Coturnix japonica: one gene and its partner. The protein of the gene in region 1 interacts with the protein of each later gene in a pairwise test. Links are inferred from orthologs where the notes say so. Each region holds a gene or a part of one and is shown on either strand. Other genes may lie near its edges.

Region 1 (4,412 bases):
TGAAGGAAACAGACACAACCCTGCCTGAGGAAGGACTGCTTTGTTCCCAGGTGAAGGGACATTGGAACAGCAGTGCCACTGCACAGAAAATTTGCACCTGGAAGGATCTGGTGCTTGAGACACGCTATGGGACAATGGAGACGTGAGTCTGTGCATACAGGGGGGGACCCTTTCATAGAACCATAGAATGGCCTGGGTTGAAAAGGACCACAATGCTCATCCAGTTTCAACCCCCTTGCTGTGTGCAGGGTCACCAACCACCAGAACAGGCTGCCCAGAGCCACATCCAGCCTGGCTTCATTTTAAAGGGGAAAACTTTGAGAGCCATATCCTACTTGTGAGGCCTTCAATGGGACAAAATCAATTCCTGCTCCTAGATGTGATTTAATGAGGTCCAAGCCCCAAACTCAGCCAAGATGAGCCAACTCTGGACATGCTAGTTCAGTTCTGTGCTGTATGCAGCTTCAGAAAGTGAACACTGGGCTATGCAGAAGCTACATTACAAACTCTGCAAAGCATTGGTCATCTTTTCATCCCGTGTTTGGATCTTGGTACTCAGGTTGGATCTTAATCTATGACCGCCCTTATAGTAATACTTAACAGGTTGGCTCAGCAGGAAGAAGTCAGTGCAATGACACGACTGAGTGAGATGCATGTGAACATACAGAGCATTAGTAAGGTTATTAGTACGAATAGGTGTGTGGTTTATTAGCTCAGTCTTATAAGGTAAACTTTACTGTGGCAACTTTACAGCTTTTCCGGGAGCTTTTCCCGGCCTTCAGAGCCCGCTTGGCATTGATGTGAGCCCTGCGCTCCCCTCCCTCATGGGAGATGTGCAGGAGCTGGACAGACTGTGGAAGGAGTCACCTTTCCTGCAGGATGGAGCTAAATTAGGCCTCACAATGGGAATGTGAGGCCTTTTTTTTTTATTTTTATTTTTTTTTTGGCAATTAGCACAACCGCGCTGCTCATTTTAAGCAGCACAGACAAGCAGCACATCAGCTCAGAGTTCATTGCTCCCATGGCAAGTCTGCTGTGCCCCATCCACCCAAAATATTGCCCCAGATTGCAAGCACTCCCGCATGGCAGACCTATTCAGTTTAGCCCGGCTTTAAATGTATTCCTATGCTGTTTCTTCTCACGTGTACCTTTGTCCCCCCACCCGTTTCTCTGGCTTCCCTCCTTCCACACCTCGGTAATTCCTCCCGACTCCCCCCAGTCTCGCCGCCACCTGATGCAGCCCCCATGGGGCATCCCGCTCACATCGGCCCCAGCCCCGGGACGGAGCGGGACTCGGGGTGGGCACTCGGCCTCGGCCTCCAACGGAGCACAGAGCAGAGCAGAGCCGAGCACAGAGCAGAGCCGAGCACAGAGCAGAGCAGAGCCGAGCCCGGCCTGCCCAGGGGAGGGGAGGCGGCCGTTCGCTGCTCCGTCCCGGCTTTGTTGTGCTCGCCGCCCGGGCTGCGGGTTAGGGGGCGGGGAAGCGAAGGGAAGGGAAGGGAAAGGAAGGCGGCCGCGTCTCCTCCTCCGCCTCCTCCTCGGCCCCGGCCCCACTCATGGCGACGCTGGGCACATCCGGGCTTCTCCTCCTCCTCCGGCGGCCGCCGCTGCCCTGAGCGCCCGAGCCGACTCCATTAGCGCGTCCCCTCCCCCCCCGTCTCCCTTCCCGGACCCAGAGGCAGGGGGAGCCCCGGGCAAAGCAGCGCCGGGCCCGAGCCGCGGCCGGGGACATGTCCAACCAAGGGGCTCGGAGGAACGGGCCCGTCAAGCTGCGGCTGACAGGTGAGGCTGAGCGCGGCGGCGGGGAACTGCGGCCGGGCCTGCATAACGCTGTATAACAACGCTGCATAACGCTGAATAACGCTGAATAACGCTGAATAACGCTGAATAACGCTCGGGCACGGGGCGAGCAGCAGCGGGGCTGTGCGGGACGGGGCGCGGCGGGGAGGGGAGGGGAAACCCGCGGCCACGGGGGAGCGAGTTCCTGGAGCGGCGGGGAGCCCCGGCGAGCCCAGCTGGAGGGTGGGAGGGAGCGAGCGAGCGGGAGCTCCTCCATGTGTATTTGAGGTTGAACCTGGGCTTGGAGGCGGCTCTCAGGCCTCGTGAGGAGAAGGGGCAAAATACAGACAGCGAACTCTTCCCTCTCCTCCCGTCCGCTCCCTCAGTGAGGGCAGCTCCCCGTGGGCCGCCCGCCTCGGGAACAAAACGCCAGCGGGAGCCGTGTGGTACCGGGCACCTCAGCCCCGTCCCGCCGCCCCCACCGCTGGGTTTCGCTTTTTTTCCTTCGCCTTCTCAGCGTGAACTTGAAAGAAAGTGACACACGCTTTGTTTTCATCTCTTTGTTTGTTTCTTTATATATATATATATTTTCCCCGAGCCGACTTCCTTAGTGAAGGTTGTACACAGTCGGTTTGACACGGTGCCTTGTGTGGGCAGCTTTCTCTCAGAAGACCACTTGACCTCGAATGCTTTAAAATAGCATTAAAAAGCTGCTCACCTGCGTGCAGGGAAGGAAAATACGCTATTTCCAAGCACTTGAAGTGTTATGATCCTTTACATGAGAGAACCAGGTACATTGATCGAGAGAAGGAACACTGGAGCTCTCTTTAAAAAAAAATAAATAATACAGCGAAGTTAATAGGACAGAGCTGCTCCAAAGTGATGTAAGGCCCTCCCCCAGCTGATAAATCCTATCTTGGGTTCCAAAGTGTGAGTGCTTGAAGGTAAGCCGTTAGAAAGCAGGAGATACATTGCTTCAAATACTCTTATTTGCAGATAGTGGGTTTAACCAGCTTGCAAAACAAATATGTTTTAACAAAAACCTGAAGGAATTGGAACATTAACTATAGGCACATCTGAAATATTTCCAGTTTGATGTCATATAAATACAGATGTTTTCATATTTATTTTTTGCAAGCGTGCTGTTTTTATAGAGGAGATGCAATGTATGTTTTGCTGTGGAAGTACCTTGGACTAAATTTATAATGTAATTTTCATTGAGATGTGTGAATGCCTATATAATACAGTGAGAAATGAAATCTGTGAGCTAAATGTGGCTGGGACCGATGCATGGAGCAGTGCTGCCTGTTTGTACAGTGCTTGGGAGCTTTTTCTTCAGGTTACTGCTTTATTGATGCAAAACTTTAATGCTTTTTTTCCCTTTGCTGTGAGTGCTCAGACTTGCTTATCTTCGAAACATTGCGAATAGTCTGGAGCCTTTAGTAAAAGCCTGGAAAATACTGTTCAGGCGGCTGTCTGCTTCACCTTTGGGTTTTGTATTCTGTTGTGTTTTATTTTGATTAAGGATTAAGTACGTCTTCTAATCCTGTCTTTGACAACATAAATATGTCAAGGGGAGTGTAGCTGTGAGCAATAGGCAGTGGTTGTATGTACCGAGTGGTTCCCAAAAGAAGCAGGTACGTTCTTGAGGAACGATTCTGAGTTTTTCATTACCTGTTTTTTAGGAGGGGTGGCTGCAGAGCAATGGATTCAAAGCAAAGTCGCCTTTAGAGAGAGACTGCTCCACTTTTAGCATCTCTGTGCAGGCGCTGAGAACCGGTTCTGTTATTTGGAAGCTTACATGAAATATTGACCTATTTCTCAAGTTAGAAAGACTTGAGGTATTTTGTGCTTTAGCAAACTGCCTGTTGTTTTTTATGCGGTCGTTGGTTGTAGGGAAGCTTTATATGCTTAAGAAAAGTTGTTACAAACATTGGATTTTATTAATTGAGCTGACACGGTGTCAGTCCTTGCATAGGAATAGATCTAAGTGTACTTTGTGGCTTTGATGACCCTTTTTGATTGGAAAAGCAGTTTGAGAGCTCTCAAATTCTAGAACTGTTTGGAATTAAAGGAATCTGTATATTCCAGTGTTTTAAAAAGTTTATTTTCATGCTTGCAAATGCTATATAACCTTAATTTTCTTTGGCTTTATGATGCCAGCAGTCTTCTGTTCTGGCTTGAATATTTATAGGATTAATTCTGTAAACATTGTGTAACACTTATCTTTCCTATTTGTTATCTCTAAATTAGATACTATAGATTGAAAAAAATAAAAAATAAATGGATTCAAGAACTGGATTCAATTAGCAGTTTTTCAGGACATAAACATTAAAGGTTTAGATGGAAAACATTGTTTTGACTGACTGGATAAATGACAGGGTAATGTTTGATGTGAGTCCAAGAGCTGATCTGTAGTAGTGCCCAACTTCTCAGTCGATCCCGAGGAGCCAAATAAAATATTGAACCTAGGCCTCATTTTGCAAAAAAGGTTGATTCTTTGTTGGGACCTTAAGAAAGTTCTGAGAAATGTTTGGCATACCTTTACACTAAGTGTTTAACAGTTTATTTAGGTCTGGGTTCCATAACAGAGAGAAACCACAGCGGTGGCATACTTCTAGTAAGTTTTTATT
Region 2 (4,598 bases), on another chromosome or scaffold:
AGCAGGTTCCCTACAACACTAGGTTGAGCAGGAAAGCATCCAGATGGGTCTTGAATATCTCCAGAGAAGGAGACTCCACAGCCTCTCTGGTCAGCCTGTTCCAGTGCTCTGTCACACTAATAGTAAAGAAGTTCTTCATCATGTTCAGATAAAACTTCTTGTGCTCCAATTTCTGCCCACTGTCCTTTGTCCTGTTGCTGTATGCCACTGAAAACAGCCCATGCACTTCACTCCTGCACTTCAGATATTTATAAACAGGGATGAAATTCCCGCTCTGCTTTTCTCTTTTCCAGGCTCAACAGATTCAGACTACTCAGCCTTCCACATACAGGAGATGCTACAGGCCCCTCATCACCTTTGGGCCCTCTGCTGGACTGTCTCCAGAAGACCCCTATCTTTTCTGAACTGAGGAGCCCAGAACTGCACACAGCACTCCAGATGTGGCCTTACAAGGGCAGGGCAGAGCGGAGGATCACCTCCCTCGATCTGTAAGCCACGCCACGTATGATGCACCTTAGGTTCTCCTTGGCCTTCTTGGCCATAAGGGCACACTGCTGGCTCATTGCTGCCCACCAGGAGAGCACCTGTACTAGGTTCAACTAGGCCTGAAATCTTCAGTGTGGAAAAGTCCAGCTGCACAAAACTTTTAACATGATGGTCAGTGACACATAAACAACGAGCTGCCGGATTATATTCACAGAATCACAGAATCACAGAATGACCCGGTTGGAAGGGACCTCAAGGATCATGTAGTTCCAACCCCCCTGCCTGGCAGGGCCACCAAACATACACATTTACTAGATCAGGTTGCCCAGGGCCCGTCCAACCTGGTCTTGAACACCTCCAAGGACGGGGCATCCACACCTCCCTGTGCAGCCTGTTCCAGGGCGAACCACTCTCTACTGAAGAACTTCCCCATAACATCCAATCTAAATCTTCCCTCTTTAACTTAAAACCGTTTCCCCTAGTCCTACTATTGTCAGACCTTTCGAAGAGTTTACTCCCTCCTGGGAGTAAGTTCCCTTCAGGTATTGAAGAGCTGCAATGAGGTCACCCCGCAACCTTTCTTCTTCTCTAGGCTGAACAAGCCCAACTCTCTCAGCCTGTCCTCATCGGGAGGTGCTCCAGCCCCCTGAATCATCTTCGTGGCCCTCCTCTGGACCCTTTCCAAAATCTCCATGTCTTTTGTACTGAGGCTCCACACCTGGACTACAGTACTCCAGATGGGGGCTCAAAAAAAGCAGAGAGGGACGATCACCTCCCTATCCCTGCTGACCACCCTCTCCTGATGAGGCCCAGGATCCCATTTGCTTTCCGGGCTGCCAGAGCACACTGCTGGCTCATGTTAAGTTTCTCATCTATCAGGACCCCTAGGTCTTTTTCTGCCGAGCTGCTCTCAAGGAGCACACCTCCCATTGATTCAAACATCAGCCGTGATATTTTTGGTGTCGTGGAGATGCAGCAAGCACACTACGTCCCTTTCACAGAGAACAGCCTCTTTCAGGCACACAGCCTCGCCCCCACGCAGGTCCCATGGACAGCCCAGGCGGGGCCGTCCTGCGGCGGGGCATGGACTTGGGGCACAGCCCGGGCAAGGCCCCGCCCCGAGCCGAGGGCGGAGCGGCTGCCGCCGCCCGACTACAGGCCGCGGTGGGGTTGTCCGGCTGTTAACTGCCTCGGTAAGCGCGACTGGGGGCCGGGTCCTTTCGGAGAGGCTCGGCTGTAGCCGGCCCGGTGGGCTGAGGTGAGGCGGCTCGTTCGGCTGCGAGCGGTGGGAGGGCGGCCGTGGGGAGGCGGGGCTGCCCCCCGGGTTGAGCCCGGGGCTGGTTGTGGTGGTGCTGCGGGCTGAGCCGGGTCGGGTACCGGCTGGTGCTGCTTAAAGGGAGCGACGGGGCCGGATCATTCCGGGTTAAAGTGTCGCTGAGAAGCAGGTATCCTGTAAGCGGCTCGGTACGGAAGTTGAGGTAGAATTCCCTGCTCCGTGTGTGCCGCCTGCTTTGAGAGGTTCGGATCGGGGTGGCCTTGTGTTGTTTTTATCTGCTGGTGAGAAACCTGTTGGTGATGGCGGGGGGCTGGTAGGCCTGCTCGTAATTAAAAGCGTTAAATAACAGTCTTGCGTAACTGCGGACCTTATTGGAATCGTTTCCCTTTCCCGGAGAACACGAGATAGTGATGGTGCCTTTGTACGCAGTCCGGGCCGCCAGCTGCCCCGCCGTGTGCTCACTTTCCGTTCCGGAGATGTGCTGGGTTGGCACTTGAGAGCTGACAGCTCTGCCCTGACACCCTGTGATGGGAGCTCACACTATGCACGGCGTCAGGAAGAAAGTTGGTTTATGAGGAGAAAATAGGCTTGAGACAGCAGAGCTGAGAGGAGGGTAGGAATGACCGTGTCGGGTCAGATCGCTGGCTTTCGTATTACCCAGCCCTCAGTGCTTAAATATCAGCTGTAGGCCACCACTTAATGAAAAATTTAAGCGCTACTCTGAAGAGGCTAATTTAAATAAGCTACAAGGGGGGGAAAATAAAAGAGATGAAGTTGATCAGCTAGTATCTGCTATGTTCAACTGAATCCTTTGTAACAGTTGCGCTGGATCAGTATGTTCTCAAAAGTTACTGATGCCTTAATTGCTTTTTATTAAGATTAAGGCTTAAATAGTTCTGTCTGTGTTGTAGTTCTCCTTCACTGTCTTCATCTTTGAAATCAGCAGCTGACAGATAAACAGGTGACATATCGGAAGATCTCTGGATTAAGGGGTTGGTTTTGTTCTCCCATAGCCGCACCTACAAATACAGGGAGCTGGATGGCATATTCTACCTCTGTCGGTCAGGATATTTAATCCCCTTAATAAGCATTAGGCGTCTTGTTTACGTTTTCACAGTTAGAACCACAACCAAACTGCATTTTTAAACTTTTTTATTATTTTAATGGAGTTTGCTGCATTAGAAGAAGGGTGGTCAGCCAGAAAGCTGAGGTGCCAGCTTACAATATCAAATGGAATCTGATATTGTAAGCTGGCCCACATTGCCCCACTGCCCTCTAGCATCCCTTGGCCAAGTCACTTGGCACCAGACAGTATATCTGTAATGATGTTGGAAGGGGGCTGAGGAATGAGTCAAGTGCTGGTTTGATCTGTGATTATCTACCGTGTTCATCAGCTCTTTTCTTAGCTCTCTTTTGAATCAGCTTTCTCAAAGACAAGTTCCTGTGAGTCTTACTGAGCACTAAGAAAATATCTGGCCATCCAGATCCAAAGGCTCAATTTTGGAGCTCTTGTATTTAACAGTATGCACTTGGCCATTTATCCTAGCTTTAAAACATAGGAAATAACAATGTACAGAAATAGATTACAACATACTGGGCATTTAAATACTGTATTAAAATCATACACTGAAAAAGATAATGACGACTGATATTCCTTGCATATGATCAAGAAACTACTTTGACTTCAGGAAATGTTTCCTCTTGTATTCTGAGGGAGCAACCCAGCTGGTTTATTTACTTCAGTATACCCACCATTATTTTGTATTGATTTTAATTCATTTTTATTTATTAAATTTATACACTTGGTTATAAACTGACTTTTAGTTTTCCTGTATTAAAATCAACTGTGAATCCCTTCCTCTGTTCCTAAGTGCATTGTCCCACAAATGAATAGTTTGGCTCTGACTGCTGTACACGCAGCACAAATTTGGGATGTTTCAGACAATCAGAGATGAGTTAACAATGCTCCCACTCTTCTGAGCTGCTAAGCCTGTTTTTGTATCTCCGTCACACATGGCCATGCAGTGCTGCCTTGTATGCACTGGACCTGCTGACATCTCAGTTTCCTGACACGTCTTTTATTTCGAGTTAACAAAGATTTTGCTTTAGTGAGAACAGTTCTGTTGACAGTGCAGCGAGCATATAGAGTGGTACTTTACTATTGCTCACTCTTAAGCAGAAATACAGCTGTTACTTTTGCATTTCACTTGTCACTGTAAAAGAAGACAAGGTATTAATTGTTAGGAAAAGTAATTACTTAAAATCTGGATAGTATCTTTGCCTTAGCTGCCCTAACAAAACCAAATCAAAACACACGGGGCAAAGCAGGTGATGATGCTGCAGTGTTTGTTCACACAGGCAAGTAGTTACTGCCCTAAGCAGGGACTTGATTAAATTCACAGGCTCTAAAAACGTCAAAATGCAGAGTGTTGCTCATAAAGAAATTAACTGTGATGTTGGGTTAAACTCTGACCTTCTTTATTGCTCTGTTAAGTCTTTTCTGTTCTGGAAGCTTCAAATAATTTTTAGATCAGTGTTCTTCACTGTTGAGCTGTCTTTATATCCTCTGTAAAAGAAAAATGATTTTCAGTAAATGCGAGTGTTGATGCAAGATGAAGTGGTTTAGGAGTCCCTAGGTTGTTTTTTTTTGCTAGCAAATTACTTGACGCGTATGTCTTCAATGACTCCATATGCTTGGTTAACGTCCATCACTTTTTATTATGAGGAAACTTAGTGCACTTTCTATGAGTGATGTAAGGACAAAACAAAGGTTCTCCTAGACCATAAAATCTTCACCGTGGTGTATAATCTTTCATATAGGGATGAAGCAGTGTCT

What was found.
Region 2: the proteins of SMURF2 (region 1) and SPART interact in a two-hybrid assay, tested with the Homo sapiens proteins (2 studies listed by BioGRID and IntAct). The link is inferred for Coturnix japonica from reciprocal best matches to the Homo sapiens genes SMURF2 and SPART.

The regions. Positions count from the first base shown.
Region 1 is NC_029533.1:7,186,370-7,190,781, forward strand, and holds the start of SMURF2 (E3 ubiquitin-protein ligase SMURF2), read left to right. Parts: upstream 1-1,401; 5' UTR 1,402-1,730; coding exon 1,731-1,782; intron 1,783-4,412. UniProt on the Homo sapiens protein: E3 ubiquitin-protein ligase which accepts ubiquitin from an E2 ubiquitin-conjugating enzyme in the form of a thioester and then directly transfers the ubiquitin to targeted substrates.
Region 2 is NC_029516.1:154,378,051-154,382,648, forward strand, and holds the start of SPART (spartin), read left to right. Parts: upstream 1-1,554; 5' UTR 1,555-1,679; intron 1,680-4,598. UniProt on the Homo sapiens protein: Lipophagy receptor that plays an important role in lipid droplet (LD) turnover in motor neurons.